Linked DNA regions of Arabidopsis thaliana. The protein of the gene in region 1 interacts with the protein of each later gene in a biochemical or structural test. Each region holds a gene or a part of one and is shown in the gene's direction. Other genes may lie near its edges.

Region 1 (9,943 bases):
CTCTTGAACATCAAAAATAACAATGTGAGTTGCTTTTTGTGGTTTATCATGTCTCTTGATCATCAAAAATGACAATGTGAGTTGCATCTTGTGGTTTCTGACATCTGTGTAAGGGTCTATTATTGAAGTAAACTCAAATCTTTGCTTGGTTTGGATTTTGTTGAGCTACTCATTTGAGCCACTGCATTGTTGTTATAGGTGTACCTAGAAAGTGGATACTATCTTCACGGTTACTGGGGGATTCTTGTGGACAGATATGAAGAAATGATAGAAAACTACCACCCGGGTCTAGGAGATCACAGATGGCCATTGGTGACTCACTTTGTCGGTTGCAAACCGTGTGGGAAATTTGGTGATTACCCGGTGGAACGGTGTCTAAAACAAATGGACAGAGCCTTTAACTTTGGAGATAACCAGATTCTGCAAATCTATGGTTTCACTCACAAATCTTTGGCTAGTCGTAAAGTCAAGAGAGTGCGGAACGAGACTAGCAATCCGTTGGAGATGAAAGACGAGCTCGGGTTGCTTCATCCGGCGTTTAAGGCGGTTAAGGTACAAACCAATCAAGTTTGAATCGGTTTTGCGTTTAGGATTTGTGTTATGTTTCTCGCTATATTTATGTCTTGTGTCTTTGCTTGTTGTTGTACTAAGATGGATGATAAAGTATTGTGCAGAGACATCAGTTAATTCTTTGGTTTTACTTTGTCTCTACGTCTAGAGTTCTATTACGAAATCAAAATGTTGTTTTTCTTCCTTTTTGTTCTTTGTAATCCATTAGAACTTGAGATTTTGTAGCTTCATGGATCAATAATCTGTGTTAATTCAAGAACTTTTTTTTAACCTGATTTCACATTCAACTAATTATTTACTTTTAGTATGCAAAATGTGAAAAAATCACATTGAGTTAGTATAGTTCTGAGATCATATTCACAAGTTTTGTGTAGTTTAGGAGTTTAATTCGAAAAACAAAATTTGGCATGTGGTCAGATTCTTTTGCAGTATGGGTTGTTGTATCTGAAATCTGAATGTCTTTAATTGATAATAAAATCATGTATACGGGCTATTATTAGGGGGAGGCCTTATAAAAGCCCATCTGAAAACTAAAATCACGGCCTAATATATGGAATCCGTGTTATACAAAAATCCAAGATAATTCGTAGATAATGGTGAGAAAATCGTTTGTGGCCAAGCAATTTCGGGTAGGGAGGATCAACAAAGATACAAAAAAGATTTCTTTCTTCTTTATAAAACCCAAATCTCAAAATGTTATCTCGTTTTTTATTTTAAATGTTTTATTTTATTTTGTTGTTGTGTGGTTTTTTTGGTTTTTAGTAAAGAGAAGATATAACAAAACCCTAATTCTCATGAGTTCAAAAACCCTAGATTTAGTGAGCCCATCAAAACATTTTCCATTGGGGAAGATTTTAACATTTGGAGAATTGTGCATAATAAAAACAAAATATTAAACAGTAAATACTTTCCAAAAAGTGACTAAAATATTCTAAATTTACTCAACAAAAATTGAAAATTCTTGACAAAAAAATTACTGTTTTTTAAAATGATACAATGTTTTTCAAATTTTAACCACAAATGATTATTGTACTTCTTCCTCAAATAAAAAAAGAAACTCTATATATTTTGGCTTGAGCCAATGAAGCGACACAGTTTAAAGCGTAGCACAAAAGAGAGCCCTCTTGGAAACTTCACCAACATAGAAGCGAGGGTAATTCGGTAATTTCATCATCATCCTCAAAACACAAACTGAGAAGATAAAATCCCAAGGCAAAGAAGAAAAACGAAGAGTCATTTTTTGTTCGCCGAGTGACCTTATCTCTCCCAATTCTCTCTTCTTCAAAAGAGAGAGAGCAGCCAAATTCTCAATCATAAAAACCTTCACACAAAAAAGGGTAAATTCCTTTAAACCCTATCTATCTATCGCTATCTCCTTCCTCCACAAGTTTGGCGGAGAAAGAGTCTCAGTAGCAAAGCGGAAATGGACTCAAAGTCGGTTACTCCAGAACCAACCAACCCCTTCTACGCTTCTTCGGGGCAATCAGGTTTTTCTTCTTTCTCGTTTATATCTTCTTTAATCTGCGTTTTTGGGAATAGGGTTTTAATCGGAAGGATATTTTGTTATCAGGAAAAACCTATGCTTCTGTTGTCGCCGCCGCTGCTGCTGCAGCCGCCGATAAGGAGGATGGTGGTGCTGTGAGTAGTGCCAAGGAGTTGGATTCCTCATCGGAGGCTGTGTCTGGTAATTCGGATAAGGTTGGAGCTGATGATTTATCTGACTCCGAGAAGGAGAAGCCGAATTTGGTGGGTGATGGGAAGGTTTCCGACGAGGTGGATGGTTCTTTAAAGGAGGATTCTACTACTCCTGAGGCTACTCCGAAGCCTGAGGTGGTTTCTGGTGAGACAATTGGTGTAGATGATGTTTCATCGTTATCTCCGAAGCCGGAGGCTGTTTCTGATGGTGTAGGGGTTGTGGAGGAGAATAAGAAGGTTAAGGAGGACGTGGAGGATATTAAAGACGATGGTGAGAGTAAGATTGAAAATGGGAGTGTTGATGTTGATGTGAAACAGGCTTCCACAGATGGGGAGAGTGAGAGTAAAGTGAAGGATGTGGAAGAAGAAGATGTTGGAACAAAAAAAGATGATGAGGGGGAGAGTGAGTTGGGTGGAAAAGTTGATGTTGACGATAAAAGTGATAATGTTATTGAAGAAGAGGGTGTGGAGTTAACTGATAAAGGAGACGTCATTGTGAACTCGTCCCCTGTAGAATCAGTGCATGTTGATGTGGCAAAACCAGGGGTGGTTGTTGTAGGAGACGCAGAGGGAAGTGAGGAGTTGAAGATTAATGCTGATGCTGAAACTCTTGAAGTGGCTAATAAGTTTGATCAAATTGGGGATGATGATAGTGGTGAATTTGAACCTGTGTCTGACAAGGCCATTGAGGAGGTAGAAGAAAAATTTACTAGCGAATCAGACTCTATTGCAGACTCCTCTAAGTTAGAATCTGTGGATACCAGTGCTGTAGAGCCAGAGGTTGTAGCTGCCGAGAGTGGGAGTGAACCAAAGGATGTGGAAAAAGCCAACGGATTGGAGAAGGGTATGACTTATGCTGAAGTAATCAAGGCAGCTAGTGCAGTAGCTGACAATGGAACCAAAGAGGAGGAGAGTGTGCTCGGTGGCATAGTCGATGATGCAGAAGAAGGTGTTAAGTTAAACAACAAAGGAGACTTTGTGGTGGACTCATCTGCTATTGAAGCTGTGAATGTAGATGTGGCAAAGCCAGGGGTTGTTGTTGTTGGAGACGTAGAGGTGAGTGAGGTGCTGGAAACTGATGGCAACATCCCTGATGTGCATAATAAGTTTGATCCAATTGGCCAAGGTGAAGGTGGTGAAGTTGAACTTGAATCCGATAAAGCCACAGAGGAGGGAGGAGGAAAGTTGGTTAGTGAAGGAGACTCTATGGTTGACTCCTCTGTGGTGGACTCTGTTGATGCTGATATCAATGTTGCAGAGCCAGGGGTTGTGGTTGTCGGGGCGGCTAAGGAGGCTGTAATTAAGGAAGATGATAAAGATGATGAGGTTGACAAGACCATCTCAAATATTGAGGAACCTGATGACCTGACTGCTGCATATGATGGAAATTTTGAATTGGCTGTTAAGGAAATATCAGAGGCTGCCAAAGTAGAGCCAGACGAACCAAAAGTAGGTGTGGAAGTAGAAGAATTGCCTGTTTCTGAAAGTTTAAAAGTGGGTTCAGTTGATGCAGAAGAGGATTCAATTCCTGCAGCTGAGTCACAGTTTGAGGTTCGGAAAGTTGTCGAAGGGGACAGTGCTGAAGAGGATGAAAACAAGCTCCCAGTCGAAGACATTGTTTCTTCTCGTGAGTTTAGCTTTGGAGGCAAGGAAGTGGACCAGGAACCTTCTGGCGAAGGTGTTACCAGGGTTGATGGGTCTGAAAGTGAAGAAGAAACTGAAGAGATGATATTTGGGAGTTCTGAAGCTGCAAAACAGTTCTTAGCAGAGTTGGAAAAGGCTTCTTCTGGTATAGAGGCACATTCTGATGAAGCAAACATTTCTAACAATATGTCAGATAGGATTGATGGCCAGATTGTCACCGATTCTGACGAGGATGTAGACACAGAGGATGAAGGTGAGGAGAAAATGTTTGATACTGCAGCTTTGGCTGCGCTTTTGAAGGCAGCCACTGGTGGTGGAAGTTCAGAAGGTGGCAATTTTACCATAACATCTCAGGATGGCACGAAGCTTTTCTCTATGGATCGACCTGCTGGTTTGAGTTCATCGTTAAGGCCCTTGAAGCCTGCAGCAGCTCCACGTGCAAACCGTTCCAACATCTTTTCCAATTCTAATGTCACAATGGCAGATGAGACTGAGATTAACTTGAGCGAGGAAGAGAAACAGAAATTAGAAAAGTTGCAAAGCCTCCGTGTGAAGTTTTTGCGGCTTTTGCAAAGGTTGGGTCATTCGGCAGAAGATTCAATTGCAGCGCAGGTTCTTTACCGTCTTGCACTACTTGCTGGGAGACAAGCAGGGCAGTTATTCAGTCTTGATGCTGCAAAGAAGAAGGCTGTGGAGTCTGAGGCTGAGGGCAACGAAGAATTGATCTTCTCCCTAAACATACTGGTCCTTGGAAAAGCCGGGGTGGGAAAAAGTGCTACTATAAATTCCATTTTGGGAAACCAGATTGCGTCCATTGATGCTTTTGGGCTCTCAACCACTTCGGTTAGAGAAATTTCTGGAACGGTGAATGGTGTCAAGATTACCTTTATTGATACTCCGGGTTTGAAGTCTGCTGCGATGGATCAAAGTACAAATGCAAAAATGTTGTCCTCTGTAAAGAAGGTAATGAAGAAGTGTCCCCCTGATATTGTACTATATGTAGATCGTCTTGACACCCAGACCAGGGACTTGAACAATTTGCCCTTGCTAAGGACGATTACTGCTTCTCTTGGTACATCCATATGGAAAAACGCTATAGTGACATTGACCCATGCGGCTTCTGCCCCTCCTGATGGCCCATCTGGCACCCCATTGAGCTATGATGTGTTTGTAGCGCAGTGCTCACATATTGTGCAACAGTCTATAGGACAGGCTGTTGGAGATCTACGCTTGATGAATCCAAGTCTGATGAATCCAGTTTCACTTGTTGAGAATCACCCCTTGTGTAGGAAGAACCGGGAGGGAGTGAAGGTTCTCCCGAATGGCCAAACTTGGAGATCTCAGCTGTTGCTATTGTGTTACTCCCTGAAGGTTTTGTCAGAAACAAATTCTCTATTGAGGCCTCAAGAACCATTGGACCATCGTAAAGTATTTGGTTTCCGAGTTAGATCCCCGCCTCTCCCTTACTTGTTGTCTTGGCTGTTGCAGTCCCGTGCACATCCTAAGCTCCCTGGAGACCAAGGTGGTGATAGTGTTGACTCTGATATCGAAATTGATGATGTGTCTGATTCTGAGCAGGAAGATGGGGAAGATGATGAGTATGACCAGCTGCCACCATTTAAGCCTCTTCGAAAAACCCAACTTGCAAAGCTCTCAAATGAACAGAGAAAGGCATATTTCGAGGAGTATGATTACCGTGTAAAGCTCCTGCAGAAGAAGCAATGGAGAGAGGAATTAAAGAGGATGAAAGAAATGAAGAAAAACGGGAAGAAGCTGGGTGAAAGTGAGTTTGGTTATCCGGGAGAAGAAGATGATCCAGAAAACGGGGCTCCAGCTGCAGTGCCAGTTCCATTACCCGATATGGTTTTGCCACCTTCATTTGATAGTGATAACTCAGCTTACCGATACCGATATCTGGAACCCACTTCACAACTCCTAACCAGGCCAGTGTTGGATACCCATGGTTGGGACCATGACTGTGGATATGACGGCGTCAATGCAGAACACAGTCTTGCTCTAGCTAGCCGGTTCCCTGCCACAGCTACTGTCCAAGTCACCAAGGACAAGAAAGAGTTCAACATTCATCTGGACTCCTCTGTGTCTGCTAAGCACGGGGAGAATGGATCCACCATGGCAGGGTTCGATATTCAGAATGTAGGCAAGCAGCTGGCATATGTGGTCAGAGGAGAAACCAAATTCAAGAATTTGAGGAAGAACAAGACAACTGTTGGAGGGTCAGTGACATTCTTGGGAGAGAACATCGCCACTGGGGTCAAACTCGAGGACCAAATAGCACTGGGGAAAAGGTTGGTGCTTGTGGGCAGCACTGGGACAATGCGATCACAGGGAGATTCGGCCTATGGTGCGAACCTCGAGGTCAGGCTTAGGGAAGCTGATTTCCCAATTGGACAGGACCAATCTTCTTTTGGGCTGTCTCTGGTAAAGTGGAGAGGCGATTTAGCCCTTGGAGCCAATCTCCAATCTCAAGTCTCTGTTGGAAGGAACTCAAAGATTGCGCTTCGTGCAGGACTTAACAACAAGATGAGCGGACAGATCACAGTCAGAACCAGCAGCTCGGATCAGTTGCAAATCGCTCTCACAGCCATTCTTCCAATTGCCATGTCCATCTACAAGAGCATTCGACCCGAAGCGACGAACGACAAGTACAGCATGTACTAAATATGCTGATGAATGCTGCAGAATGATCTTTTCTTTTATTACTGGTTTTTAGTTCATGTTTTTCCCCCACTTTAATAAAAACTTTGTTGAAGTTTATCAAAGTTGTATTTTGGTTCTGTTGAGAGGTTCCCATCGGATTTAATTTATCATGTATCAGTAATTCTTCACTTTCATTAGCCCTTCTCAGCTTCTCTTGCTGTTCTTCAGATAATGGAATCTAGTTCAGTCTTCTTTTGGTCTACGTCTCATGCTAATGATGTTGCTTGGTTTGAGTTTGCTAATTTGTTACTAAATTTCTGCAGAAGATACAAATCACTCGGTGAAGAATCTTTAAAGCAGGTGCGTAGCCTGTAACTGTTGATAAGATTTTGTACTAGAACCCTCATCTCATTGTGTTCTTCACCAGGATCTTACTGTTCTTCCTTGGTCCCTTGAAGGCAATGGTATGTTTTTTATAAAAATGCTTTGTAATAGATTTTCATTCTTATATAATATCTGGAAACTATTGGAGTATCGTGGTGAAGTAAACTTGATGATACTAGCAGACAAAACTCCGAATAAAGGATATTTCTTGGTGGACTTAATCTTTATGGTTTATGTGAATATTTGATGTAGCAAAGCCTCTAACTTAAAGGATGACCAGAGTCTGCAAATATATGGCTGGCTTTACTCGCAATTCTTTGGGTAGCCACAAAGTCATCAGAGTAATGAGACGAGCAAACAGTTGGAGATAAACACTAGGTGGACTTTCTTCACCCTGCGTTTACGGCGGTCAAGGTACAAAATTGATGGTGAAAAACACAAACTTGCTGCTCTAACCGTTTCTGTTATTTATAGAGAGGTGAATAGGTCCAGAAATCTGATGTGTTTTGTTTTGTCTGATTTGAAGCTTACGTCTATATTTTACTTGTCATTTTCAGACATGACAAAGCAAGGAAACTTTAAGGATAAGAACGTTCAAAGTCTTCTTAAGTCAACTTCTTTCGCCAGGAGAAACGTTCCAAAGTAAGATTTCCACCAGACTAAAGTCCTTACATACTATTCTCACTAGTCAGTATCTCCATAGTTAAGACATCGCAATCTTTGCATTAGTTAACTAATTGATTTATTTTAGAATAGCTTGAAGATTAGATAAATAGTTTTTGCCAAAGATACTCTCAAGAGCATACACACACACTCACATAACTGAAAGAAAACAGAGGATACAACAGAAAGAAAGTACTGAGAAATTGGGCAATGAGAAAGCCGCTTATTTAATCTTAGCATTATTACTGTGACTGAAGCAAAACCATATTTTCCTTTTAGAAATTTCTCACTGAACCTTCTCGGAAGCTGGCCTCTTGGTGATTTCAGCCACCCACTCATTGACACGTGGACGCTCGGTGAAGAGCTTCTTGGTGGGAGTTCCGAGCAGGTATTGAATCGCGGGAATGTGGTGAAGATCAGTCAAAGTGAAAGTTTCACCAGCCAAATACTTGAACTCCTTGAGCCTAGCCTCGTAGACATCAAGGACCTTGGCTAACTTAGCCTCCTCTTCTGCAACAACGGCTTCGTCTGTGGTCAAGCCGTAGATGGACTTGAATATTTGTTCAAAAGCAAGCTTTGAAGCCACTGGGTCGAACTGGTGATCTTCTACTTGCATTCCAATGGCCATGATTGCGTACTGAGATATGTTCTTGGAGTCGGTTTGGAGAAGGTTGGTTCCTTGGTTTTCATATCGGTGAGCTATGTACTGAGTAATCGCTCTTGATTCTACACAAAATAAAAATAAAAAAATCCAATTCTTATTAGTGATTTTGCTCTCTAATGGCTTTTGTCAACTCAGAGTTGAGATTGAAGATGATGCATGGAAAAGGTTCATACCGAAGAGCTTGAGGTCTCCATCTTCAAAGGCTGGAACCTGACCAAAAGGCTGAAGAGGAAAGAAGTTCAAACACAAAACATTTGAGATGCAGGCCAGATACATGAAAACAGTTGGTCTCTTGTCTTACAACAACACATAGATATATAGATATACTTACGTTGCGGGAGAGGAAAGGCTCCTTCTTGTGCTCACCGTCTTTGAGTTCGACATGAACGAGCTCAAAGTCGAGGTTTTTCTCGTGGAGGGCGATGAGGACTCTCCTGGTGGCAATGGAAGCTGGGTGTCCGAAAACTTTGATACCTGCCATTGATTTGGGTTACTAAGAAACTCTTTGAAGACTGAGAAAAAAGAGAGAAAAGAGGAAGAAATGTGATGTTTGATGTTGAAGGTGAAGGTGATGAAATAAGACACAAGTAATGAAGGTATTTATACAGAAGCATTTCTACTTTCTCATTAATGTTTAATATTATCTAACAGATAATAATGCCTCTACAAGGCCATCGCAACCAATATTGACTAGTCTTCTTCTTCTGGGAGGATTTTTCAAAGCTGAATTGGACTGTTTAACGTTTAAATATTTGCTTTTACATTGGTTATGTAATGGTTTTTAATAAAGTATTCAATGTATCAGAGAAAAGATCATAACTAGTGCGTAGTAATAGGCCAAATGACTCAAACTTCCACCTACTAGCTTCATCTAGTAGCTTTCCCCCTTCTTGGTTATGACTGGTTCGGTTTTGTTTCGGGGATTTTGTGATGCTCTATATCTGTATGCCTTCTCAAGTTAAAAGGGTTTCTCTTAATGTGAGATTCAATAGAACAAAGGTTTACTGATCAGATCTTTTTGAATTAGTTTCAGATAAATAACCAAAGAAGTTTTGGTATGGTTTCTTGGTTCCTTTTGGTGTGGTGGAATTCGATGGAAAAATCAACCTTGTTGATATTGATGCATAGTAAGTATGAACAAAATGTATAAAGGTAAATAATAACCAAAGAAGTTAAGAAAGTGAATGATGATTATTCAAAGGATTATTTGGAGAAAAAAAAGACCCTCTTTGACAAATCTGTTGGAAAATACAAAAAAAGAGTAAAGAATTTGTAGCCAGCCTATCACAGTCCCTTAAGCTGTTCCAAAAGACCTGTCAAAGTAGTCCATTTCTCAAATGCACCAGCTGATGAAACGAAAGCGAGCTTCGATGACTCTATATCGTTCTTGTTCACTGCGAAAAAAGGAATCAAAACCACATTTCAAAGAGATCACTGCAATGTTTTAATGACAATTTTGATTCTTGTGAATGAAAAAGTTAAGTACAAGTACAAGTACAAGACCTGATGTGATAAGAGAAGCCAATGATGAATTGAATGCTTCCACCTCTGTATTCTCTTCTGGGCTTGTACTCAACTGTTCCAAGAACACAAACAAGGACTTTTCAACAAACAGTAACATAAACATTAAAAAAAAGTCTACCTTATGTAAAGAGAGGGAGAGAC
Region 2 (7,335 bases), about 15 Mb from region 1:
AAAACTGCTGCTAAGACATGTTGTTCCCTGTTGTCTAAGGTGAGTAGCTTCTAATATGCCCTGCAGGCTGCCTCTGTTGTCTTCATTGCCTTTGGTTATTCAAAATCCTTCTTTAAAACTCAGGCTTTCAAGTATTTTCCGCACCATATTAAGGAGTAGCTTATGTTCATGTGCTTCTAATAAATGCATGTTCTCAAATTTTAAGCTTTTCCAAAGCCTATTACTGATTTAGATTAGCATTGTAACCACGCATGATAAATGTTTATCTAAAATTTGTATTTTGATCTCTAGTTGGCAGGAAGTGACTCTAACAAGAGTACCATAGTTGAGAAGCAAGGTCTGGACAAGCTAATCACACTCGCACTACGATTCTCTGATGATCCTCTAGTCATACAAGAGGTAAGTATATAAACCAAACGAAAACCCTCTTATGACACTATGTCCCATGCGCAATTTTAAATCTTCCTGTCTAGAGAAGATACTTGTGACTACAGGTCACGTCTTTGGCAGTTTTCCACTAGATAGAACGTAATGTCGTGTGAAGAATGTTTCTTGTAGCATTAGGGTCTGAGTGCATAATCCTTGTGGTTGATCCAAGATATACTTGATTGGTTCAGGTGATGTTGATAATCTCTATAATCTGTCTGAGATCACCAGACCACGCAGCCAAGGCTATAGAAGCTGGAGCTGGTGATCTAGCGGTCCAAGCAATGAAGAGGTTCCCAGTAGCTGCTCAAATGCAGAGAAACGCTTGCAACATGATACGGAACATTGCTGTCAGAAGTGCAGAGAACAGGTTTTTGCTCTGTTTCCAATTCTTGTCATCCAACAATATGCACATATCGCAAACTCTTTTATAATATCAAGTTCTGTCTGCATGCACACTACAGAACTATTCTGCTTGCTAATGGAATCGAGAAGCTGATAAGAACTGCTAAAGCCAACAATGAGACATGCAGAGCCGCTGCAACTGATGCACTGAGAGACCTTGGCCTTGATAACTACAATAACTAAGGTCAATCTTTCTCCATTGGTTGGTACTCGCAACAACCGGAATGAATCCAGTTTTTTTTTTCAAAAATTTCATAAACAGTTTGCATTGAGTTCTCTCTTTTGGGTAGAAGGCATTCCGATCTAGTCTTTTTTGCAACGATTGCTTTTGTTCGAATGCTTGAACATGTAGTAAAATTGAAAGGAATTGATTGAAAATTTCGGTGAAAGGTACTCTAAATAGTAAAAAAGTAAATAGAGAAACAGAGGCTTCACAATGAGAAATTTTCATTCATTCACTAAAATCATTCGTTTAGTCAATGAATTTCCTTTATTTAGAAGAAATCGATTTTAGTTTGAAACAAGGACAAAATGTTTGTTTGACTAAAGGGAAGAGAAACAAAGACAAAATGTTCACGTCCATGGAATGATCGAGCTCTAGAAGAGTGTATTGGGAATATTAAGTACGGATATATGTTTTTAAAAGATGATTAAAAAAAAAGTTTGCAGCAAAATCGTCATGTGGATGCGCATAAACAAAAACTTTAGATAGTAAAAATGATGGGCTATAGTGATGATGAGTGCAACTCTATCGGTTTCAGCTTTTAGGTGAAGATCTGACAAGCTAGCCAACAATATCTCGACATTTGTGGTAACTTGTTTTTCTTTTATTTTCCGTTTTTAAATGCGGAAACCCTTTTTATATACCGAAATAGAAAGTAAATCTTTTTAGTGGTCATTAATACATGGAGGTTCCCATGATTAGCCATAAGCTTGTTTAATGCGAGTATATGTTTCATCAGCTCCGTTTCAGGACATATTTAAGGGGCAAAATTAATCCAGTAGCCAAAAATGTACATATGTAAGGGACATATTACGATATTAATATATAGATCCACTAACAGAAAAACTAATTGTTAATTTAAATTATTTCTATTTCATTTTTCACTGTGTTTGATTAAATTAAATTGGGATATAAAATCAATTCAAAATCTGTTATTTTAAATCTCATACCATTCTAGTGCTATATTTTTGAAAACTTAGATATTTTTAGTAACTGTTCTAGGCATAAATTTAATCAATTAATATTTTCATATTTTTTGCTATACTATTTACAATAAGACATATAATAAATCGGAAAAAATTAATGCATAATATTATGGAGAGATAAAACTTACTGAAAAATAAAGAGTAACAAATCACATAGTTTATACTAATACTTTGCCAATAAAAAGAAAGTTTATACTAATTAAAATATTATTTTCTATACTAGTCACGGTAAAAAAAAACATTTCTAAAAACTACAGGCCCCATTGTTTGTCAGAACGTTGTAAGTAGAAAGGGTAAATCCGTCATTTCAAACTATCTCCCATGCTTTGACAAATCACAATTCAACAGTTCACAGAAAAAGCGAAAACTTCTTCTATCTCTCTCATCTTTCTGTTTTGTATAGCTTACTTCAAGCTGTGGTTTAAACAGAACAGAGAAAGCTGTTTCCTTTTTATATTGACAGAGAAAAGGAAAGCTGATAGAGAGAGAGACAGAGAGAGAGAAACAGAGTTCAAGATCACGAGCCTTCCTTCTTCTTCTTCTTCTTCATCGAGAGCGATCAAAGGAACAAAAAGGATCTCAAGAAACCCACTTGTGTTGTTGGTTAGATACTTCACGGGTCTCTGAAAACGTCTCTTTCTCACAACCATAACTTGATCACCCAATACTCCTTTTCTCATCTTAAAGGCTCAAATTCATCCACGTCACACCGTTGTTCATTTCCTCTGATGTCTTGGTGTCGTTAGATATTGTCTCCCAAAAAAGAAATCTTCTTGACACAGAGATTGAAGTCGCAAAGAGACAGAGGAAAGAGGGGGAGAAAATGGATCGACCAGCAGTGAGTGGTCCAATGGATTTGCCGATTATGCACGATAGTGATAGGTATGAACTCGTCAAGGATATTGGCTCCGGTAATTTTGGAGTTGCGAGATTGATGAGAGACAAGCAAAGTAATGAGCTTGTTGCTGTTAAATATATCGAGAGAGGTGAGAAGGTCAGTTTATTTTCTTCTTGTTTTTTCTCCTTAGTCCAATTTTATTTTATGTTTCAATTCACTAGGTTCTTGAATTCAAAAGAAATCATTTTTGTGTGTTCATCATCCAATGAGAGATGTGTGTTTGGTTACTTTATGGTTATGAATGGTTTAACCCTATAGATTTACAAAATTGATTGATTTTTATGGAAGACCAAATTTGCTCTGCTTTGCTTTATGACTTATGTTGTATAGTGTTGTTTTAAAGGCTCTAGGTGTTTCTTTTGTTATGGAACGTGGTATTAATGGTGGGACTTTTTGTATTTGTACAGATAGATGAAAATGTAAAAAGGGAGATAATCAACCACAGGTCCTTAAGACATCCCAATATCGTTAGATTCAAAGAGGTTTGTTTTCAACTCTCTTTTAAGCTGTTTTCTTATTATTAACATTTTCAGGAAAAAAAAGGAATTCTATAATTTAATCCTTAGGATTGCTTCAGGTTATATTAACACCAACCCATTTAGCCATTGTTATGGAATATGCATCTGGAGGAGAACTTTTCGAGCGAATCTGCAATGCAGGCCGCTTCAGCGAAGACGAGGTTGTTCTCTCTTTTTTTTCTTGCTTTGATGATTAATCGAAGATTCAAAATGCTGAGGCTAATATATCGTTTACTATCATGTAGGCGAGGTTTTTCTTCCAGCAACTCATTTCAGGAGTTAGTTACTGTCATGCTATGGTAATGAAAAATGCTCTCTATCAAATCAATGCTTCATCCTCTGTGAAATTCAGCTGACTTAAGAAGTTAAATTTTATGTTGTAGCAAGTATGTCACCGAGACTTAAAGCTCGAGAATACGTTATTAGATGGTAGCCCGGCCCCTCGTCTAAAGATATGTGATTTCGGATATTCTAAGGTATCTTTGAAAACATTTCAGAAACTCTGAGTTAGTTAGTATCTCTAAGCTTTGTGTTTTCTTTTTCAGTCATCAGTGTTACATTCGCAACCAAAATCAACTGTTGGAACTCCTGCTTACATCGCTCCTGAGGTTTTACTAAAGAAAGAATATGATGGAAAGGTACTCCATTTTCATAGTTCCCAAACTAGTATGATAACCATATCTTATAGAAAGAACAATCTTTGTATTTTTATCCTCTGATTATAGATAGGGGAAACATGCTTTCTCTTGATGAAAGCTCACACAAATAAAACAATCTTGGCTCTTCAAGAATTTTGGTGAAGAAAGCTATTAAGAGTCTGATTTGTAAACTGATAATTCTTGAGTTTTGGTTGAATTAGTCAAATGCATCCTAATGTTCTTCTTTTTTTTCAGGTTGCAGATGTTTGGTCTTGTGGGGTTACTCTGTATGTCATGCTGGTTGGAGCATATCCTTTCGAAGATCCCGAGGAACCAAAGAATTTCAGGAAAACTATACATGTGAGCCTTTCACTTTCTTCATGCTTCAATAGTTGAAAAATGTAATTATGGATTTTATTACTTGCTAGCTAAACTATCTGTTCTCTTGTGAAAATATTTGCTCAGAGAATCCTGAATGTTCAGTATGCTATTCCGGATTATGTTCACATATCTCCTGAATGTCGCCATTTGATCTCCAGAATATTTGTTGCTGACCCTGCAAAGGTAAAGGAAGGATCATGAAAGCTGCATTTGTTGATTTATTTGTGAATTTTCTTTATAGTATGACTGAAAAGAGAACTTTGCATTTTGGCCCTCTTGGTTGGTTTCTTGGCAGAGGATATCAATTCCTGAAATAAGGAACCATGAATGGTTTCTAAAGAATCTACCGGCAGATCTAATGAACGATAACACGATGACCACTCAGTTTGATGAATCGGATCAACCGGGCCAAAGCATAGAAGAAATTATGCAGATCATTGCAGAAGCAACTGTTCCTCCTGCAGGCACTCAGAATCTGAACCATTACCTCACAGGTGAGACAACACAAAACATAAACTTTTCGATTTCTTGTCTTTTTTAATGCTTCTCAATGTTTGAAAAACTTATCATTAATGGATAAACAGGAAGCTTGGACATAGATGACGATATGGAGGAAGACTTAGAGAGCGACCTTGATGATCTTGACATCGACAGTAGCGGAGAGATTGTGTACGCAATGTGATACTATATATCTATTTGCATGGTTTCTGCTACAAAAATGTCAAACAAAAAATGTTGAAGAATAAGATTAAGATGTTTTGCTTGCTATTGAGTTGGCCCAACTTTGTCTCAATGAGTACACTTTGAATCTTTGATATGCAAAAGACTAAATTTCTAAACAAAAGTGAAAAAAAAAAAAAAAAACATTTTCATCAATCAGTATTTTATCTACTCTCTCTAGTATTTTTTGTTTGTTTTTCTAATAATACTAGAAACAAAATTGTTAAACTAATTTGGAGAAGTTGACAACTAAACAACATATAGGCTATGCAAAAGATAAAGAAATCGATATTCTGTAGTACTATACAGATTAAAGTGGGTACTTGATAATATCAAACTGAAGTAAATAGATGGGGCATATCTTGAAGACTTGAACTATATGGAAATAAGATGATATTCCCATTTTCACAAAAAATACAAAAACAGCATAAATGTAGATGGAACACATTCATTAATAATTTAATATGCATGTTATATGTTCAGAAGGACATACGTACGGTAATTCGCTTTAAATTAAAAAAGATGCTTATTCACGCATCTTCGTTTTTTTTCTTTTCTAAATATTTTTCGAATAATAAATTGATAATGAACCAGTACTTGATAGTTGTTCTTGTTCATTGAAATTAATATTATTCCTACTTTAAAAAATACTCAATGTTTTTAATTTTTTTAAAAAAAGGAAGAAGAAAACAAGCAGTTACAATTTGCAACGTTTTTATTAAGAAAATGGAAGCATGCATGGTTGGTCGACCTATGTGACAGTGTCTCTTGTACTGTAACACAACGTGAATGATTTTGAGTTATAGATGAGATATGTCTGCCTTAGCAACTGATATCATTATTGTCTTCTTATCTTCGTTATTTTCTTTTAGTTTCAAACTATTTTGTACCATTTATTTTACCTATTCACTCTGGATATAGGCATAGTGGATAAATAACATTATTAGTATTTTTTAAAATAAATTCTATTTTGGATTGGGAAAAATATTACTGACACAATATGGCTTTGGCCGATAGACAGGAGATATGAACGATTTTGACAAGATTTCCAAAGACCGTTGTGGTTTATGTTTCTATTTATGTTTTTATACTTTCACTACGAAATTTTATACAATTTCAACGGAATTTAGTTTTTTGGGTAAAATTATGACAAATATGTGTCGGATTTAGCGAAAGCATAATTTTTGTTGTCTCAATGTGAAAAAGATTTACAGAAAAATTTGAAATAAAAACTTGTACCAAAATAATCATATAAATCCATTGTAATTTCCGATAGATTGATTTGTCACTAAAATAAAAGTAATCATCAAGTATGATCTCCTCATTGCCGTCAGACTTGTCCAACGGTAGCCTTTTTTGCCATTGCAGAGTTGCTCATTATTTCCGTTCCGACACTTAATCAAGTAAATTCTGATTGTTATTTGTTAGTTTCTGCATCCAGATGGTGATATTCATAACAATCAAGTACATTATTAACTTGTTTTTTTTGATAAAAAAATAATTGACTAGAGTAGTTTGAAAATGACTAATTATTTATGGTGTGACATTGGCTTATTCGACATAGTGTGGGGACTGGGGAGGGATCTCTATTATGAGGATTCGACCATTTGTCTTGCTGGTGAGTGTTTCCATACGAAAACGATTTTCGACAAGCTAATGTAGACCTAATTCAGTTCATGTTACATTCTTTTTATTTTGGTATGTTAAATCGAATCCTAAACTAATATATCCTTTCAAAGTAGTTGAATTTGGCTTTAACTTTCCAGTTTGTCTGACAAGTATATTTCACTCAAGCTAAGTCAAGTGTAATCATATTTTTGGTGAGATAATATTTCTTATAGTTGAGACGAAAACCTATATATAGTTGAGACGATGATTGTTTTCTAATTAGTTGAAAGTTGAAACCACTTCTTTTCACAAAAATAACCCAATGCACTTATTTGAATCTTTAGAATGATATACATCGAATATCTATGATTGGAAATAAAAGTCAGTGTAAGAACTTGAAAGGTGTTTTTAACAAGAAAAAAAAAAAAGAACTTGAAAGTGAAAAACATTAATAATAAGAGGAAAAAAGGTGAAAACATTAAAGTGCCCATAGAAAAGTTGAAAAACATTATTAAATACCAAAGAAAAAAGT
Region 3 (5,741 bases), about 17 Mb from region 1:
CACAAGCTTCTTAGTTTTTCTGTTGCAGACGTAAGTAGGTTTGGAAAAGACTCTTCCAGGTGTTCCTCTTTTATGGAGTATTTGTGTTTTCTAAGAGAACGATCTCAAGATGACGAACTAGCATTAGCTTCTGTGAATTGTCTTCATGGGTTAACACGGACTATCGTGTCCATCCAAAATCTGATAGAATCTGCTAGATCCAAGATGAAAGCTCCGCATCAGGTAAGTATTTCCACTGGAGATGAATCTGTGCTTGCAAATGGGATACTGGCAGAGTCTCTGGCTGAGCTAACATCTGTGTCGTGCTCTTTTAGAGATTCTGTTTCATCAGAATGGCCCATCGTGCAATCAATTGAGCTACATAAACGAGGCGGATTGGCCCCCGGCGTTGGACTTGGTTGGGGAGCTAGCGGTGGTGGGTTTTGGTCAACCAGAGTTCTGTTGGCACAGGCTGGTGCCGGTCTTCTGAGTCTCTTTCTTAACATCTCTCTGAGCGACTCGCAGAATGATCAGGGATCTGTTGGCTTTATGGATAAAGTAAACTCCGCTTTAGCTATGTGTTTGATTGCAGGTCCAAGGGATTATTTACTCGTGGAAAGAGCCTTTGAATATGTCCTTAGACCGCATGCTTTAGAACACCTGGCCTGCTGTATCAAGTCAAACAAAAAAAACATATCGTTTGAATGGGAATGCAGCGAAGGGGACTATCATCGTATGAGCAGTATGCTTGCTTCTCACTTCAGACATAGATGGTTACAGCAAAAGGGAAGATCGATAGCCGAGGAAGGGGTCAGTGGGGTAAGGAAGGGCACAGTTGGTCTGGAGACTATTCATGAGGACGGTGAAATGTCAAATAGTTCAACTCAGGATAAAAAATCAGACTCCTCGACCATAGAGTGGGCTCACCAGAGAATGCCCCTACCTCCACACTGGTTTCTCAGCGCCATCTCAGCAGTCCACAGTGGTAAAACCTCAACAGGGCCACCAGAATCCACAGAGTTGCTTGAAGTTGCAAAAGCTGGAGTTTTCTTTCTTGCAGGACTTGAGTCATCGTCTGGTTTTGGATCGCTTCCCTCTCCTGTTGTGAGTGTACCGTTGGTTTGGAAGTTTCACGCTTTGTCTACCGTATTGCTTGTTGGAATGGACATCATCGAAGACAAGAACACTAGGAACTTGTACAATTATCTGCAGGAGCTTTATGGGCAGTTTCTTGATGAAGCGAGACTAAATCACCGTGACACTGAGCTTCTGAGGTTCAAGTCAGACATTCATGAGAACTACTCTACTTTTCTGGAGATGGTGGTGGAGCAGTATGCTGCGGTGTCATATGGTGATGTAGTGTATGGCCGGCAGGTCTCGGTTTACCTGCATCAATGCGTGGAACACTCTGTTCGGCTTTCGGCATGGACAGTGCTCTCCAATGCCCGTGTTCTCGAGCTTCTGCCGAGTCTAGACAAGTGCTTGGGAGAAGCGGATGGTTACCTCGAACCTGTTGAGGTAATTTACAAAAATAATAAAATGTTGATAGTGGTGAATAATGGCATCTTGAGCATCCAACTAAGATAAAATGGTGAATTGATATTGCAGGAAAATGAGGCCGTCCTTGAGGCCTACCTGAAGTCATGGACTTGTGGGGCATTGGACAGAGCTGCGACGCGTGGATCAGTAGCCTATACGCTGGTTGTGCATCACTTTTCATCTTTAGTCTTTTGCAACCAAGCCAAGGATAAAGTATCCCTGCGGAATAAGATTGTCAAGACTCTTGTCAGGGATTTATCAAGAAAGCGGCATCGTGAGGTAACTTGAAATCCCTCATCTCTTGTTCAATGTCATTCTGGGGACTGAGGATGATAATGAAACGTGGAAATAATGTTTCAGGGGATGATGTTAGATCTCCTGCGGTATAAGAAAGGGTCTGCGAACGCCATGGAAGAAGAAGTGATAGCAGCGGAGACAGAGAAAAGAATGGAGGTGTTGAAAGAGGGTTGCGAAGGGAACTCCACCCTCCTCTTGGAACTGGAGAAGCTGAAATCAGCCGCTCTCTGTGGAAGAAGGTGAACGAGAGAATGAGAGGAAAGAAAGTCTGTGTGTTTCTTTCTCTGTTTTGAGGTTCTCTTACAGATGAAAAGCTGTGTAATTAAAAATCGATGTTCTTCTTCTGTTCTTGTAAGATTTTGGATTTTTCCAATTTCTGACAAAGTTCAATTAAAAAACTTGACTGACATTTTGAAAGCGACGTGTCTGTCTTAGAAATCAATCATATATTGGCACTTCCTATCAAGAGAGTTTGGCTGAACCCAATTTTACTAAATTATCATTATCTCAAACACAACAAGGATAGATCATCCTCATAGGCGATGTTGTTTAGTGGTTCAGCGATCCCATTAAGCAGCTTCTGCTCTCTTCCGGAGAAACCCCACACTCTTCCTATGAAACTCTCTCCCGCTGCAATCCGATCTTCATCCTCATCTGCCCCGGGGTCGTTGAACTTCGATCTGAGGACGTATTGGACGACTCTGATCACCGAGATCAACCAGAAGCTGGATGAGGCCATACCGGTCAAGCACCCTGCGGGGATCTACGAGGCTATGAGATACTCTGTACTCGCACAAGGCGCCAAGCGTGCCCCTCCTGTGATGTGTGTGGCGGCCTGCGAGCTCTTCGGTGGCGATCGCCTCGCCGCTTTCCCCACCGCCTGTGCCCTAGAAATGGTGAGATAGATTCCACTCTCTCTCGCCTTGTAATCTCAATTTCGCCGTTAGTGTTTGATATGAGTGAGTAAGAAGAAGAAATAGAAAGTCTTTGTTGTTGTTGTTGAGAGATGTGTGTGTTGTATCTAATAATGGAATGAATCAGGTGCACGCGGCTTCGTTGATACACGACGACCTCCCCTGTATGGACGACGATCCTGTGCGCAGAGGAAAGCCATCTAACCACACTGTCTACGGCTCTGGCATGGCCATTCTCGCCGGTGACGCCCTCTTCCCACTCGCCTTCCAGCACATTGTCTCCCACACGCCTCCTGACCTTGTTCCCCGAGCCACCATCCTCAGACTCATCACTGAGATTGCCCGCACTGTCGGCTCCACTGGTATGGCTGCAGGCCAGTACGTCGACCTTGAAGGAGGTCCCTTTCCTCTTTCCTTTGTTCAGGAGAAGAAATTCGGAGCCATGGGTGAATGCTCTGCCGTGTGCGGTGGCCTATTGGGCGGTGCCACTGAGGATGAGCTCCAGAGTCTCCGAAGGTACGGGAGAGCCGTCGGGATGCTGTATCAGGTGGTCGATGACATCACCGAGGACAAGAAGAAGAGCTATGATGGTGGAGCAGAGAAGGGAATGATGGAAATGGCGGAAGAGCTCAAGGAGAAGGCGAAGAAGGAGCTTCAAGTGTTTGACAACAAGTATGGAGGAGGAGACACACTTGTTCCTCTCTACACCTTCGTTGACTACGCTGCTCATCGACATTTTCTTCTTCCCCTCTGATTTTGGGCCCTCTTTTACATTTGGGCCTTCCTTCGCTATACGAAATTAGGCCCTGTAATGGACTGTGTATCGTTCATTTTTAGCCCAGAGCTTCTTCGCTTGACCATTCATCTTCGCTACCACCTGTCATTATCATTGTTTTTTTTTTGTGTCGGCCATGTCAAAATCATTTAGTTACTACATGTACTTTTAACCAAATTTATAGCAATCTACTATGTATGTATTTATTTATTTATTTTGACCAAAATTCCCAACTTTTAGACTAGTTGAATTGTTTAGTGTTTGAATAAGTGTTTTATCACCCCCCCCCCCCCCAAAAAAAAAAAGACGTTTCACAACATGCGAGTACATTTCCTCCAAGATAATTGCGAATGCGACAATTAGTATAGTTCTAAATGAAGACCTAAGCCAAGTCTATGCTTTTAACAACTCTTTCCACTATTAATCGTTGGCCATCTTATCCAATATATCTACATCATTTGCTATACTATATACATATATCCACGTTTAATATTTTCTTTCAAACAAGAAATAAATATCTTCAGTCTCTTTCATTCGGATTTCGGATTATAATCACACTTAATTTGGCTATCATACGAGGATTGAATAATCCGAGTTTGCGTACACAACATGTTTATTGGACTAAATGAATTATATTTGTGCCAATCCATATTTGGGTTGCTTACTTTTTCATCATGATATTATTTCTGAACTTATCTACCTAATGTTTGTATAAACTAGCTAATCCCATATTCCCATTCTTTATATCAACATGCTGAATAAGTGAATTATATCATTGTTTTAAGTGGGACTAATATATGCATTATGCAGAGCACATCTTTGTTACTCTTTTGAACGAATAAGTTGTTTCAAGTATTTTCTGTACGTGTTCAATCGGATATTTTCGACAACTAACATGTTATTTTCGTTCACCGCTTCATTAAATCTAAAGCTTTAGTTGAATAAGCAGTTGCTAGCTGAATTACATCAAGTGATACCTTTATATGTTTTAGAAATTCAATTAATGCAGTTGAAAATGTGTAGGCTTATTACAACTATATTATCGGGACAATATGGACACCATCAGAAATTGATGTCCCGATTCAATGAATTAACGTGTAGACTTACAACTATATATCGGGACAATGGACACCATCGGGAATTGATGTCCCGATTCAATGAATCTGTTAAACTCTTTTACACATTTGTTTAAATTTTCATAATCAATCAATGGATCGTGTAATCATACTAATTAGTAAACTACATATATAATTAAGTCTGGCTCATGCAAGATAATTTATAACAAACAAAAAACTTATTTAAGTGTTTCTCTAACATTGGCCGTATCCGTTAGCATGATCCTTGACCGACGGTGTGTGTGTCATTGGGTCATTAGGGTTTATCATGTCAATAATAAAACCTTGTTAAAATATGGGTATTATTTGGTGATAATATTATCAAAGTGATCATCTGACATTGCGTTTAGTGGTTGAATCTTTAATATATCTTGGTACTTGGAACGGGGAATAAATAAATTAATAAACACATGTAATAACATAGTATATTGCTTCATGATATGAATATGATACATATAAATAAACATGGCACGCAACCATACTATAGACCAGTACTTGTTAATTGTTGATGTAAATAAACTAGGATGTATTGAAATACTGATTTACGAAATTAGTGTTTTGTTTTTACGTGGCATTAGTGATGTGAAGAAATGACCGATGTGAGAAAGAAGGGAGAAATAAATATAATGGGAGTGTCGATGGATGGATTGCAGCAAACTTTAACGGCGACAACTCGCCGCTTACCTGGCCGTCCCAGTTTGTGACCTTTGGTGAGAGTAAAAGGGCAAAAATCCACGTGGGCTAAAAAATGGAGCCATGTGCCGCCACATCATCGGTCAATTGGGACCAAATACCTCTCTATACTACTTATTAGTAACTTGACTATATATCTTATGTTTTTTTTTATAATACTAATAAAATTATGGGCGACCGAATCAAAGTGGTTTATTCCTTTTTCTGGCTGCCGCATCTTTACTCTCCCTCTCTGGTCAACTCCTACCCGAGATCTATATGGAGTACCATTTTATTAAAGAAAGAAAAACAAAAACGAAAGTCAGTTAATTTATCTCTCCAAAATATATATATATGACCAAATTAAATCGCATTGCATTAGGAATGACTGCATGCTTAACATATATCGTGATATGCATGGGGTGTGTTAATCATAAAAAAATGCCATAT

Evidence for each region. The genes of interacting proteins can lie anywhere in the genome.
Region 2: of the proteins of TOC159 (region 1) and OST1, one has a biochemical effect on the other in vitro, tested with the Arabidopsis thaliana proteins (one study listed by BioGRID).
Region 3: the proteins of TOC159 (region 1) and GGR form a complex in vitro, tested with the Arabidopsis thaliana proteins (one study listed by BioGRID).

What each region holds. Positions count from the first base shown.
Region 1 is NC_003075.7:1,102,773-1,112,715, forward strand, and holds TOC159 (translocon at the outer envelope membrane of chloroplasts 159), read left to right. Parts: upstream 1-1,793; 5' UTR 1,794-1,993; coding exon 1,994-2,057; intron 2,058-2,140; coding exon 2,141-6,588; 3' UTR 6,589-6,927; exon of another isoform or gene 6,928-6,994; 3' UTR 6,995-7,031; exon of another isoform or gene 7,032-7,203; 3' UTR 7,204-7,365; intron 7,366-7,508; 3' UTR 7,509-7,593; exon of another isoform or gene 7,594-7,893; 3' UTR 7,894-7,900; coding exon of another isoform or gene 7,901-8,340; intron 8,341-8,413; 3' UTR 8,414-8,451; coding exon of another isoform or gene 8,452-8,500; 3' UTR 8,501-8,609; coding exon of another isoform or gene 8,610-8,759; 3' UTR 8,760-9,012; downstream 9,013-9,943. Other genes in the region: XT2 (UDP-xylosyltransferase 2), read left to right, coding at 199-573; GSTF2 (glutathione S-transferase PHI 2), read right to left, coding at 7,901-8,340, 8,452-8,500, 8,610-8,759; AT4G02530 (chloroplast thylakoid lumen protein), read right to left, coding at 9,563-9,672, 9,782-9,854. UniProt on the Arabidopsis thaliana protein: GTPase involved in protein precursor import into chloroplasts. Seems to recognize chloroplast-destined precursor proteins and regulate their presentation to the translocation channel through GTP hydrolysis. Required for chloroplast biogenesis.
Region 2 is NC_003075.7:16,269,501-16,276,835, forward strand, and holds OST1 (Protein kinase superfamily protein), read left to right. Parts: upstream 1-2,244; 5' UTR 2,245-2,863; coding exon 2,864-3,034; intron 3,035-3,345; coding exon 3,346-3,420; intron 3,421-3,515; coding exon 3,516-3,617; intron 3,618-3,701; coding exon 3,702-3,755; intron 3,756-3,839; coding exon 3,840-3,932; intron 3,933-4,001; coding exon 4,002-4,094; intron 4,095-4,349; coding exon 4,350-4,454; intron 4,455-4,559; coding exon 4,560-4,658; intron 4,659-4,770; coding exon 4,771-4,969; coding exon of another isoform or gene 4,970-5,016; exon of another isoform or gene 5,017-5,059; coding exon 5,060-5,157; 3' UTR 5,158-5,325; downstream 5,326-7,335. Other genes in the region: AT4G33945 (ARM repeat superfamily protein), read left to right, coding at 1-39, 292-399, 618-796, 891-1,014.
Region 3 is NC_003075.7:17,992,492-17,998,232, forward strand, and holds GGR (geranylgeranyl reductase), read left to right. Parts: upstream 1-2,247; 5' UTR 2,248-2,357; coding exon 2,358-2,711; intron 2,712-2,856; coding exon 2,857-3,483; 3' UTR 3,484-3,731; downstream 3,732-5,741. Other genes in the region: IYO (RPAP1-like, carboxy-terminal protein), read left to right, coding at 1-1,497, 1,588-1,797, 1,879-2,058. UniProt on the Arabidopsis thaliana protein: Heterodimeric geranyl(geranyl)-diphosphate (GPP) synthase small subunit. The small subunit alone is inactive in vitro while the large subunit GGPPS1 catalyzes mainly the production of geranygeranyl-diphosphate in vitro.